2 linked regions of the Drosophila melanogaster genome follow. The protein of the gene in region 1 binds, or shares a complex with, the protein of each later gene. Each region holds a gene or a part of one and is shown in the gene's direction. Other genes may lie near its edges.

Region 1 (5,787 bases):
ATATGGAGAACTTATGTGCATAATTTAATCCAAAAAATGTTACGGCGACAACTCAATAATTAATAATGTTTGTGGATAATAGCATACAACTTTTTGGCAAGAAATGACAGTTTAGTTTCCTAATGATCTTGGTCACTTTGGATTCGCTTGACCCACGGCAGCTGATAACGCTGCTCCGGGAAAAATAACGATGAGATTGACTTCAACAGCAGCCAGAATATATCTGTGGGCTGGGAATTAACACATTGGCCTCCTCCAGGCGCGTGCCCGTTTCACCTTCCCGTGCATTTATGAAAAGTCTGCCGGACCGACCCACCGAACCGTCCGCTGTCTAGCTCTATACGAGTAGATGTGTATCTGGCTGTTAACCCCTCTGGAATTGCCAAAAATGTGCAACGGCATCAGCGAAAGAACGGCAGGAAAGATGGTCGGAATCGGGGAGGGGTTCAAACTCCAAAGGATATAAGGGACATGGGACATGCAGCTAGTCGGGCACAATGGGATGGTCCCGATTCACTGTCAAGGTAATTTATTAATTCGACAATAAAATCGCACGAGTTCTTGGGACGAGCTCCGGATTCGCATTCTATGTTGGGTTTGGGTGCGGACTTGCGATGGGGTGTGTTGTGGTCGGACACTCGCATGTGGGCCTTACAACTCAATTAAAGTTGCCTGGGTTCTGGATCTGAGCTCGCTGCATTTCCGTGGAGAACCGGGTGGGCAAAGTATTATATGACCATGTGCTAGGTTTGGATTAAGCTTAACAGAGGAATTTGTGAAATCCAATCGTTCGAAAGTGAAAAAGTTAAGTGCCCTTATGCCACGTAAACCCATCATTAAATATTTACAAAAACAAACCATTCATAAACAGCTAGACAAGTTAGTTTAAAATCTTAGGCCATGTTCATGTAAAATAATTCAACTAATTAATCTTTTTAAGGTATAATTCAATAAGTATATATCTAAATTCAAAGACCTAGTCAAAAGTAGTAGCCCTCGCCCTTATTTATTGCGTTAAAAAAGGATCCTAACAATATTTAAATAAAATGAGATGAAATTATTTTAGTAAATGATTCGGTATCGAAAGAATTTTATTTTTGGGGAGCTGTTTTTCCTTTCTTTGATTGATAGATATAAACATAAGTTATCGGATGGTTTTATATCCTACTCTACACCCTTATTGTTAAGTTTACTGCAAAACCAGAAAGGAGGCTCACATTCACTGGCAATATAGCAATCACAGGACATCGGAGAGATGCGAACTGCAGTCTCTTCTGTCAAACTGAAAAACGCCATAAATTTTGTGGAACAATGGAATCTGCCAGAGTATGCGGATGGGGTAAGGGTAGAATTCGCACATGCACACATATGTCAGGAGTATCGATATGTTAGGGGTGTTCAACGGGGGTGGCTAATAAAATTTATCCAGGCCGCGTAAGCCGATCAGAAAGTCATGTAAACACAAAAGTGGCTGAGAGATGATTGTTTTTTACCAGTCAATTTAGCTGAGCTGATTTCAGGTTATACGCGAACCTAAGATGGAAGTAGATTTTTAGATTACCAGAAATAACCTTCAGTTTCTAAAAGAATGAGAAATAGTAAATCGTGAAGCCTGTGGCATTCTTACCCCTTACTGAAATGAATGTAACAGGTAGAAGGCAGCAATTGCAGTGCTACAAAGTATATATATTCTTGATCCATATAAGTATAAGTATAAGAGCTATAATGTTATAATTAAACATGAAGATCCTACGCTGTGCAAGTTTTGTGCCACAAATTTAACTCAAGATTACCACTCACAAAGGATACATTACCATTTGGCCATTAAAAATTACAGCATCCATAGACAACCTACTTAAAATTTATAAAAACTTGAGGGTTATATCACAGAGTTACCGAAAAAAAGCGTAAAAGCTTTATATTCTCAACAATATTATGCTATTAAAATATTGCTGGTTTTCTGCTGTTATAGAATCATTTTTAAAAGTATAACGTAAAAAATAAAATAAAACTAGTATTCATTTGAAAAATCAGCGGGCATATAATTTATATCATATTTTTAAAATTTAGGCAAAGGATGTTTGCATAAAGTTTTTACTGTTTACTAGTCATTTTGGAAGTGCGTTTGTTGGTTTTTAGGCAAATACCGGGCACAGGAGTGAGTTTGGGAATCGGGAGTTGCGCACTTGCTTGGCCACGAGGGCAAACAAAAAGCGCAAACACGCGACCCTCGGCCACGCGTATTCCTGATCCCAGGGATCGGACGTAATGTTATCCTTTGGCCGCCCAGTGCCACGAAATAAATTCGGAGGGAAAGGGCATCGGGTTCCGGGAACAACTGGCAGCCAGTCTTCGGTGTTTTGCGCGCTGGCAAAAATCCAGAGAAATTTTTAGGGAACCATAAACGGGCCGGGGAAAAAGCCTCTGCCCCGAAGGAACGTTTTCAGCAACAGTTTACAGTTTTTATGTCTTTATGATTATTGCAATTAGAGGGAGATCGGCTGAGAGTCGCGCCCTCTCGCTCTGCGCACCTCATAGGTAGGCACCTCATGGCCGTAATTACTGCAGCACCGTCTCAAGGTCGCCGAGTAGGAGAAGCGCGCGGGCGGATAAATCGCGATGATAATGGGCGCGATGGGTAGGTAATAAGCCGCGCAGCAGGTAGGCACCGTACGGATAAAGTTGCCAGGACCTCGGATAACTTCCCCTCTCCGTGCCTGCAAGGACATTTCGCCGGAGGGGTGGCTGCGAACAGCAGGCGGCAAAGTGTCATGCGCAGGGATATTTATGCGCTATAACGGCGAGCGTGTGCCGAGGGCTCTCTGATTTTGCTATATATGCAGGATCTGCCGCAGGACCAGCTCATTCGCAAACTCACCAGCGTTGCGTGCACATCGCAGAGTTAGAGAAGAAATCTAGCAATACACATCCGATATGGCCACCACAAACAGCCAGAGCCACTACAGCTACGCCGACAACATGAACATGTACAACATGTATCACCCCCACAGCCTGCCGCCCACCTACTACGATAATTCAGGCAGCAATGCCTACTATCAGAACACCTCCAATTATCAGGGCTACTATCCCCAGGAGAGTTACTCGGAGAGCTGCTACTACTACAACAATCAGGAGCAGGTGACCACCCAGACTGTACCGCCCGTGCAACCCACCACCCCGCCGCCCAAGGCCACCAAGCGCAAGGCCGAAGATGATGCTGCTTCCATCATCGCCGCCGTGGAGGAGCGACCCAGCACACTGAGGGCTCTGCTCACCAATCCCGTGAAGAAGCTGAAGTACACCCCCGACTATTTCTACACAACCGTCGAGCAGGTGAAGAAGGCTCCCGCCGTAAGCACCAAGGTCACCGCCAGCCCCGCTCCCAGCTACGACCAAGAGTACGTGACTGTGCCCACGCCCAGCGCCTCCGAGGATGTCGACTACTTGGACGTCTACTCGCCCCAGTCGCAGACGCAGAAGCTGAAGAATGGCGACTTTGCCACCCCTCCGCCAACCACGCCCACCTCTCTGCCGCCCCTCGAAGGCATCAGCACGCCACCCCAATCGCCGGGGGAGAAATCCTCGTCAGCTGTCAGCCAGGAGATCAATCATCGAATTGTGACAGCCCCGAATGGAGCCGGCGATTTCAATTGGTCGCACATCGAGGAGACTTTGGCATCAGGTAGGCATCACACACGATTAACAACCCCTAAAAATACACTTTGAAAATATTGAAAATATGTTTTTGTATACATTTTTGATATTTTCAAACAATACGCAGTTATAAAACTCATTAGCTAACCCATTTTTTCTTTGCTTATGCTTACAGATTGCAAAGACTCGAAACGCACCCGTCAGACGTACACCCGCTACCAGACCCTGGAGCTCGAGAAGGAGTTCCACTTCAATAGATACATCACCCGGCGTCGTCGCATCGATATCGCCAATGCCCTGAGCCTGAGCGAAAGGCAGATCAAGATCTGGTTCCAAAACCGACGCATGAAGTCGAAGAAGGATCGCACGCTGGACAGCTCCCCGGAGCACTGTGGTGCCGGCTACACCGCGATGCTGCCGCCACTGGAGGCCACAAGCACCGCCACCACCGGGGCACCATCGGTGCCAGTGCCCATGTACCACCACCACCAAACCACCGCCGCCTACCCCGCTTACAGCCACAGTCACAGTCATGGTTATGGCCTGCTCAATGATTACCCTCAGCAGCAGACCCACCAGCAGTACGATGCCTACCCGCAGCAGTACCAACATCAGTGCAGCTACCAGCAACATCCACAGGACCTCTACCATCTGTCTTGAGGTCCGGCGATGCTCAGTTACTCTCTTCCCCAGAGCGGAACCGAAAGCCGTACCGCCACGAAACCGAAGCGCACTTCTCTCGACCATTTGTAGGTGACACGCAAATGACACAGCCGAGAACGAAGCTGCGACGCGATGAGTTGCACAGTAGAGGGCGCACTCCCTACGGTGCCCAGGACATTTTGGGCACAAGGACGAGTGCGCAAGTGCAGAAGGCAGAGGCAAAAGAGGCAGCGCAAACAGAAAAGGAGCCTTGCTGCGCGCGGAACCCAGTGGCTGGCCATGATGGGTTCTCAGCGATCGATTAGCTGCGGCCAAACACAAGCCCAAAACACTCAGCTGGGAGTGATAATGGCCAAGAGACTTGGAGACTGACACACATGTTTTTGTACATATAGTAGTTAAGATATTCCTATCATAGAATTCTATTTATTTAAATATACGAGTAAAGTAAATCGATCGAATTTAAACAAATCAAGTTGAACATTCATTTGGCAATTTGTGAAGAAGAGTCTTGGGCATGCTGCAATTTGACTGCTTTAAAATTTTAAATTTATAGGCCGTGGGCCGCGTATGTGGAATACATTTCATATGTATATGTGTTGAAATAAAATTAAATGCCTTTCAATGATAACTACTCAATAAATTCTTAAAATAGTTTGGATCAACGTATGGTATTTGTCTAACTACTTTCACCGAAAACATATCACAAGGCAAAGTTTACCTTCAGCCTATTTTCATACCTTATATATGCATATAATACATATATATGATAAAAATGGAGTTTAGGAGTTAAGGAGTTTAAATTATTTAAGTATAAGCCTAATATTTAATTGTTCGTTGAGAAGCTTAAGAGATCTCTTGGTTTACTTTCTGATGAATTGCACATGGTTGAAGCATTACTTTCGAACTTATACGAAACGCAAACGATTTAATGTTGAGCACGAATCGTACAAATTCGAGCAGCTGCATTTTGTCGCTTCAGTCCCCCTCATCCCTGACCCATTGCTATCTCCCGGATTTTCTATTAAATGCACTCTTTTCGCCAGAGAAAATGTCACATTTTGGTCTGGCTTCGGGGCATATCTACCACCGCATCCCTGCTCCCTTCCTCCCTCCGCCGCTGCACGTTCCTCTATTGAAGTGAGACATTGATTGGTAATTTTTCATTGCACATCCGTGACAGTTATGGGTAACGCAACGCAAAAGGAAAAGCCCGGTGCGGAATCGGATTCGGAATCAGAATCAATATCAAAGGCAAAGGGGATCCATGTGCAGTCGAATATATCCCGGCACCATTTATCCGACTCATTAGACAAAAGTGGTCGGTGGGTGAGTTCGAAGTGGCATCTGTGGGCACTTTAGTGTTAGGTGCGAATTGGTGGCATTGGTTAAGCTTAGTGGTGATATGTATCTATGCCGCTGCGAAAGAAATTTTTTGTCTGATTTAATGATTTAGATGGCTTCAATGTG
Region 2 (5,787 bases), on another chromosome or scaffold:
GGCGTGCACCCAGGGATGGCTGGAGATTGCCAGGATTCTACTTCAATACGGCGCGAATCATTCGGAGGCGGCTCAATCTGGAATTAGGCCATTGCACGGAGCCATCGAAAACGATCACGAGGAGGTGGTGCGACTGTTGCTCTCCTATGGAGCCGATCCGTTGCTGGCAACGTACTCAGGTTGGTGTTGGATGTTTAACTTTGCATTTCGAAGGGATTGTAACAATTGTACCCTTTTGTTTTTAGGTCAAACCCCGCTAATGTTAGCTTCAAGCAAGTTGATGCGAGGCATTCTGCGCGCTCATCTCAGCGATGCACAAAGTGCCGCCGCTGACATCAAGCCAATGCGATTCAATGGGCCTTGGGAGATATTTGGTGAGTGGAAGCAAATAGTTCTTTGCCATTGCATACAATTAAGGATAAAACTAAAATATGAATGAATTTGAACTAAACCATGCATTAATCTCTTCCAGATGCTAAGGAGTATGGTTATGATATATTCAGTAATGTACCGAATACAGCTTGTGATATGAGCAGAGCTCTACGTAAAGAAAGGAAGGAGGCCAAGCAGCAGAGGATGAGCAGCAACAGTGACAGGACCAGCAACTTGAATGGTCTGTTAGCGGAAAAAAAGGAGGAGCAGAAGCCCGAGGATTTGGACCAGGATCGGGTGACAACAACGATCAAGCAGAACGGGGAGACGAGTGCAACAAAGACTGGATCGGCGACTACGACGACGGCAACAACGATGGTTAAATTGGAACTGGGAACCGACGAGGATAGCAATAACAATAAGAACAACGAGGAGCTGAATGCTAATGTGGAAAATAATTTAGTAACAAGCGTTGTGAATGTCAAGAATGAAGTGAAGAAGGAAGTGGAAGCTGAAGCTGAAACAGAAGCGGAAACGGAAACGAATGCGAAAGCAAATACGAATAGTAGCACTAGGCTAGACGAGGATCAGACGGACATCGAGACAATGGATAGTGAATTGAATGGTGATATTTTTGAATTTGAAGAGGCCGATGTGCCCTTGCCACCACTGTACTTGCTCAAAGACGAGGGCAGTGATAAATGGGTACTACTCAATGATTTGTGCAATTTACTTAAAGTTAAATCGAAGGATACGTTGCTTAACAAGGTATGTGCCATTTAGATGCGATATTTAAATGAACTTATAACAAAATCTTGTTATTTTTTTTTTAGCTCTGTCCGAACAACAGCAATGCCTTGGCCAGCAGTCAGAAGCACCTGCTACGGGAGTTCAAGATAGATGATTTCCTGGAGAAAGCCACCTGCCTGCAGCTGTTGTGCGCCGGTGAAAAGCTGAACATGTTCAGTTCGTCGAAGGTTGTGCTCATCAAATACAACGACAGTGTACGGAACTTGTTGGGCGTTAAGACCATTTTAATGAAATTTTAACCGAGATATCTTTAGCGATTGGACGGGGCAAGATCCAGAAAGATATAAATTAGATAATGATGAATGGATGAGCATAGTACTAACTGAACATAGAGTGTAAAGTGCAAACAAATATGGAAAAACTATTAGTACGAATATAATAGTAGATTTATATACTATACATATGTATATTTTAGCTAGTAACTAGTTTTTACTCACACGTCTTTGTCTTTGGAAGATAAAGGATTTTATAAAGGAAATTAAATTTAGAGCTAATGCAAAGTGATACAAAGGTGCTATACACACTCAAAACGAAGAAAAAGGAAATGAATGGAAATTTTAGAGCGAGAATATTGAGAAAATCTGGAATCTTTAGGGATTGGCTGCAATTATGCAATAAAAGTAGAAGAAAACAATGCAAGGCAGTTAGAAACGAGGAAACGAACGGAAAATGTATGCCAGCCAATCAGCTAATAAATTGATATATACTTACAGATAAATCTAGGGATGAAGTGTAATCTATGGTTTTTAAAAAAACAAAACAATCTAGCTAAAGTATAAACTAAATAATAATTATTGTAATAATATTAAAGAAGCAACAAAGGCGTATTTATGTATTATGTATTTTTAAATGAAATTATTAACATAATATATAAAGTATATGTATACACAATATGATCCAACTACAATGTAAATCAATTTTCAGATAGGTTTGTAATTTTCTATGTAATGTACGTGTGTAAGTTTTGTGCAACTATAAAAGGAAACCACAAAAAACTGAAGAAATTTAACAAAAAAAAAAAAACTAATAATGAAAAACAAAATAAATGCAAAGTGAAATTTTGACAATTTAAAAGTGCGGTTTCACTTCAAAATTTTAACAATCTCCTGGCATTTGAAAACAAATATCGATCCAAGCTTTTATTAAACGATTCTTCAAAATTGGTTTAAAAGGTTATTTATATATAATAATAGATGACTGAACAGGTAAGGTCTTAGATAAGTACTTAAATATACTTAGAGGGCCCATTCTTTTGAAAAAGTATAATTATATCTTGTGAATATTTAAATTCGTCTTCTTCTTTTCCTTTTAAATTTGCAATTATTTGAACTAGATAATCTCATTGTATTTTTTATTGCTTATTAAAATTTATGTAATATTTCATTGACAAACCGCCACAGTTTTGAATTTACGATCTATCGATAACTTGGCGATAGGTTCCGGCAGATGTCGCTCTCAAAAGCTCGCCGCACGAGCGGTGCGCTAAACGCGGGTGTGCGTGCATGTGAGTGCTTTCAGCTGAAAGCTTTCCGGTTTTCATATGATTGCCGTCCTTGTTCTTCAAACGATTTTTAAAGGCCAAGAATGCTGCCTCTCTGTCCTTGGCCCCGCTCTTCGCTCCGGTGATCCAACACTATCCCGACCGCGCATGTGTGTGTGCGTGTATGCGCGAGGGCTTTCGGTCTTCTTCTACCTACGCCAACAAACTTTTACTGTGTGTTGTGTTCCCGTTCGAGTTCGACCTAATTTCGCTCGAGACCTAATTTTTGCGTGCGGAATAGTTTTTCCCGAAAAAGTGAAGCCAGCGAATAAACAATAGCTGAAAGTGAGCGATAGCCAAGAAAGTAAGAGTGAAAGTAAACAAAAGCGAAAAGAAGAACAGCTCTGGCGTTAATTATGTGTGTGTACATACGTATATATTTAATATTTCCGATGCGTCCATAACGGGAGTGTGTTCTGGTTTCCAATCGTCGCCCGCGCCCCCGTCATTGCCTATCCGTTTACCAAACCCCAATTTTGGTGTGCAATTGTGTATAAAAATTAACACAAAGTGGGAAGATAGCGTTGTGTCATAGAATTGGAGCAGAAGCAAAAACAAGGCAAAATTAGCAAAAGCCAAGCGGAAAAACAACAACACAGAGTGCCCAGTGGAACCCCAGTACATGTGTGTATATATGTATGTGCGGTGCGAGCGTGTCAGTGTGTGCGTAGCAGGAATTGCAATTTATAGTTGTTGTTTCTGAGAGCTTTCGCTTGTTGCGCGCGTGCGACGATTGTGCAAGAAGTTCTTGGTGTGCGTTCGAAATCGGGAAGAGGAAATCGCCGAGAATAGAGGAAGAGTAAATGGCAATAAATGCAAAATAAATAAAAGAAATAAATAAAAAAAAATATAAATAAATTGCCAAATGCGTTTGGCGTCGCGTGTGTGTGCGTGTTCTGAAATATGCTGAAAGAGCTTTCGGAGAGCGAGAGCAAAAGAGAACGAGACGCCGAGAGATGCGATCGGGAGAAATAGCAACAACAACAACAACGGCAACAGCGACTACGATCGGCGAAATGAATCACACACAAGCTTTGTTTTGCGAATTATAAATTCGCGTTCCGTTCTCCACACATGCGAATTCCCACACTGAGAGCGAGACAGAGACAGCGAGAGAGAGGGAGACCAGCTACGGCTACAAAAACAGAAACAGCAAGAAGACCAAGACATAATAATAGAACTTTTGCTTTCGCTTCCAACTGGTTTTTGTATACATAAAAAGCGAGAGGGGAAGAGACGGAGAAAGAGAGAGACGGACAGCTTCCAGCGCTTCTTCTTCTTCCGCGATCTTCGTCTTGGAATTCATGGAACCGGGCGCATGCGCAACACACAGAACTACAAAAGGAAAAACAACGACGTCAGCTGCATGAAAGGTAAATTCTCAATTCTCCCCGCTGCACGACTTCCTCTCGCTCACCTTTTACCCCCCAAAAACCTCCTTTTCCATTTTGTCTAGTTGGGTGAGCTTTATTTTACTGCACTTACCATCTTTAATGGGAAGTAGGAGCACGGAATGAAATACAGTTTTGACACGAATTTGATTTAAAAACCATCATTATAAGAAAACTTTTTAAATAAAATCACCTTTTTGTTTGTTTAAATAAATTTTACTGGGATCATTATATATATATTTTTTACAAAAATTAATGTGGTTTTAAAAATTTGGATAATAAACTGAAAATTGTATCAGCAGTTTATAGCTTTTTATAGTTTTTTTTTATACATTTTCTCGTATTTTCCACTAAGATATTTTTCTTTTAAAATATTAAATATAAAGTTAATGTCATTTGCTCAATTTTTTTCCGTGGATTACCCGAGGGTTGGTGAGATTCAAGCACGAAAAGTGAAGAACTTGAAGTCGAGTGAAGTTAATTAAAGTATCGTTAAAAAGGGTAACACAGGGCTTAAAAAAATGGGGGAATCTTTCCAGTTGTCTGTTTCGCGAACTGGAAAATTACTGTAAATGGGGGAATAAACAATTTAGCGTGTTAATTTTTAAATGGATTTTATCTACTCGGAAAAAATAATTTGGTTAAAGATGCTTTTAATGCATTAACTTTTTTTTTTTTTATTAATTTTTGTAATCTTGTAAAACAATTGCATTTTTAAAAAAACTTTATTTTTCAATTTTTAAATTAAAGATTCTCGACGTCTATTTTGAAATTTAATTTTTAAACATCGGTTTATTGGTGAAATTGCATTGATACTGATAAAAATAGTTTAGGCACTCCTAAGCTCTACGGAGGTATATATTGTGGACTTTCGACGATTTAGTTAAAAACCCTAAACAATAATTAAATAGTAGAATTATAAAAAAACTGAAATATAACATAATAAATTGGGTGGACATTGAAGTGGTACAGAAAAAGCTTTGAAAGCTTTCTCTCCCCACAAAGAGTTGACCTTGGCCTGCTTCAAATACCATTAGGCCTTTCCTTGGCCCACATTCTCTGCGACCTGACCTTCAACCTGACCTTGCATTAACCTAGGCCTTTGAAATCCTTGTCCTACTTCCTGAAAATTAATATTTATTACTAGAACGGATTGATTTTTGGTTTAGACGGCTTTAAAAACGCTTAGAATTTTTTTTTGATTACTAATAATCTGCTTTATTACCATTTTCAGGTCTTTAAAGCAATTATAAACTTACAACTACTATCGTTACCTGCCATTAAGAATCAACAAAACAAATACCACACATCACAACGAAACGTACAAAAAATAAAAGTTAAATTATATTATTCATAAAATGGATACCTTCAATGTACCTATGCTGGCGGAGAGCAGCAACACCAACTATGCAACAGAAGCTACCAGCAATCATCACCACCTGCAACATCAGCATCAGCAGCAACATTCACATCAGCAGCAGCAGCAGCAGCAACTCCTAATGCCCCATCATCACAAGGATCAAATGCTGGCGGCGGGCAGTTCGCCCATGCTGCCATTCTATTCACACTTGCAGTTGCAACAGAAGGATGCAACTGCAACAATAGGACCTGCAGCAGCAGCAGCAGCAGTTGAGGCGGCAACAACATCGGCAAATGCCGATAACTTCAGTTCAT

Evidence for each region. The genes of interacting proteins can lie anywhere in the genome.
Region 2: the proteins of ftz (region 1) and ftz-f1 are in contact, whole or in part, in a crystal structure (PDB 2XHS), measured with the Drosophila melanogaster proteins. Residues at the interface, in NP_477498.1 of Drosophila melanogaster: Ser107 (codon at 3,253), Thr108 (codon at 3,256), Leu109 (codon at 3,259), Arg110 (codon at 3,262), Leu112 (codon at 3,268), Leu113 (codon at 3,271), Thr114 (codon at 3,274), Asn115 (codon at 3,277); in NP_524143.2 of Drosophila melanogaster: Phe842, Val845, Arg849, Val859, Asp860, Gln862, Met863, Leu866, Leu1016, Glu1019, Met1020.

What each region holds. Positions count from the first base shown.
Region 1 is NT_033777.3:6,861,460-6,867,246, forward strand, and holds ftz (fushi tarazu), read left to right. Parts: upstream 1-2,864; 5' UTR 2,865-2,934; coding exon 2,935-3,682; intron 3,683-3,829; coding exon 3,830-4,314; 3' UTR 4,315-4,785; downstream 4,786-5,787. UniProt on the Drosophila melanogaster protein: May play a role in determining neuronal identity, may be directly involved in specifying identity of individual neurons. Required during embryogenesis for the process of body segmentation.
Region 2 is NT_037436.4:18,798,416-18,804,202, reverse strand, and holds the start of ftz-f1 (ftz transcription factor 1), read left to right. Parts: upstream 1-2,893; 5' UTR 2,894-4,095; intron 4,096-5,347; 5' UTR 5,348-5,471; coding exon 5,472-5,787. Other genes in the region: CG14073 (uncharacterized protein), read left to right, coding at 1-179, 246-374, 473-1,140, 1,206-1,421. UniProt on the Drosophila melanogaster protein: Acts as a cofactor to fushi tarazu (ftz). Facilitates the binding of ftz to DNA. Binds the sequence element 5'-YCYYGGYCR-3' in the zebra element of ftz. Probably functions as a nuclear receptor for a yet unknown ligand.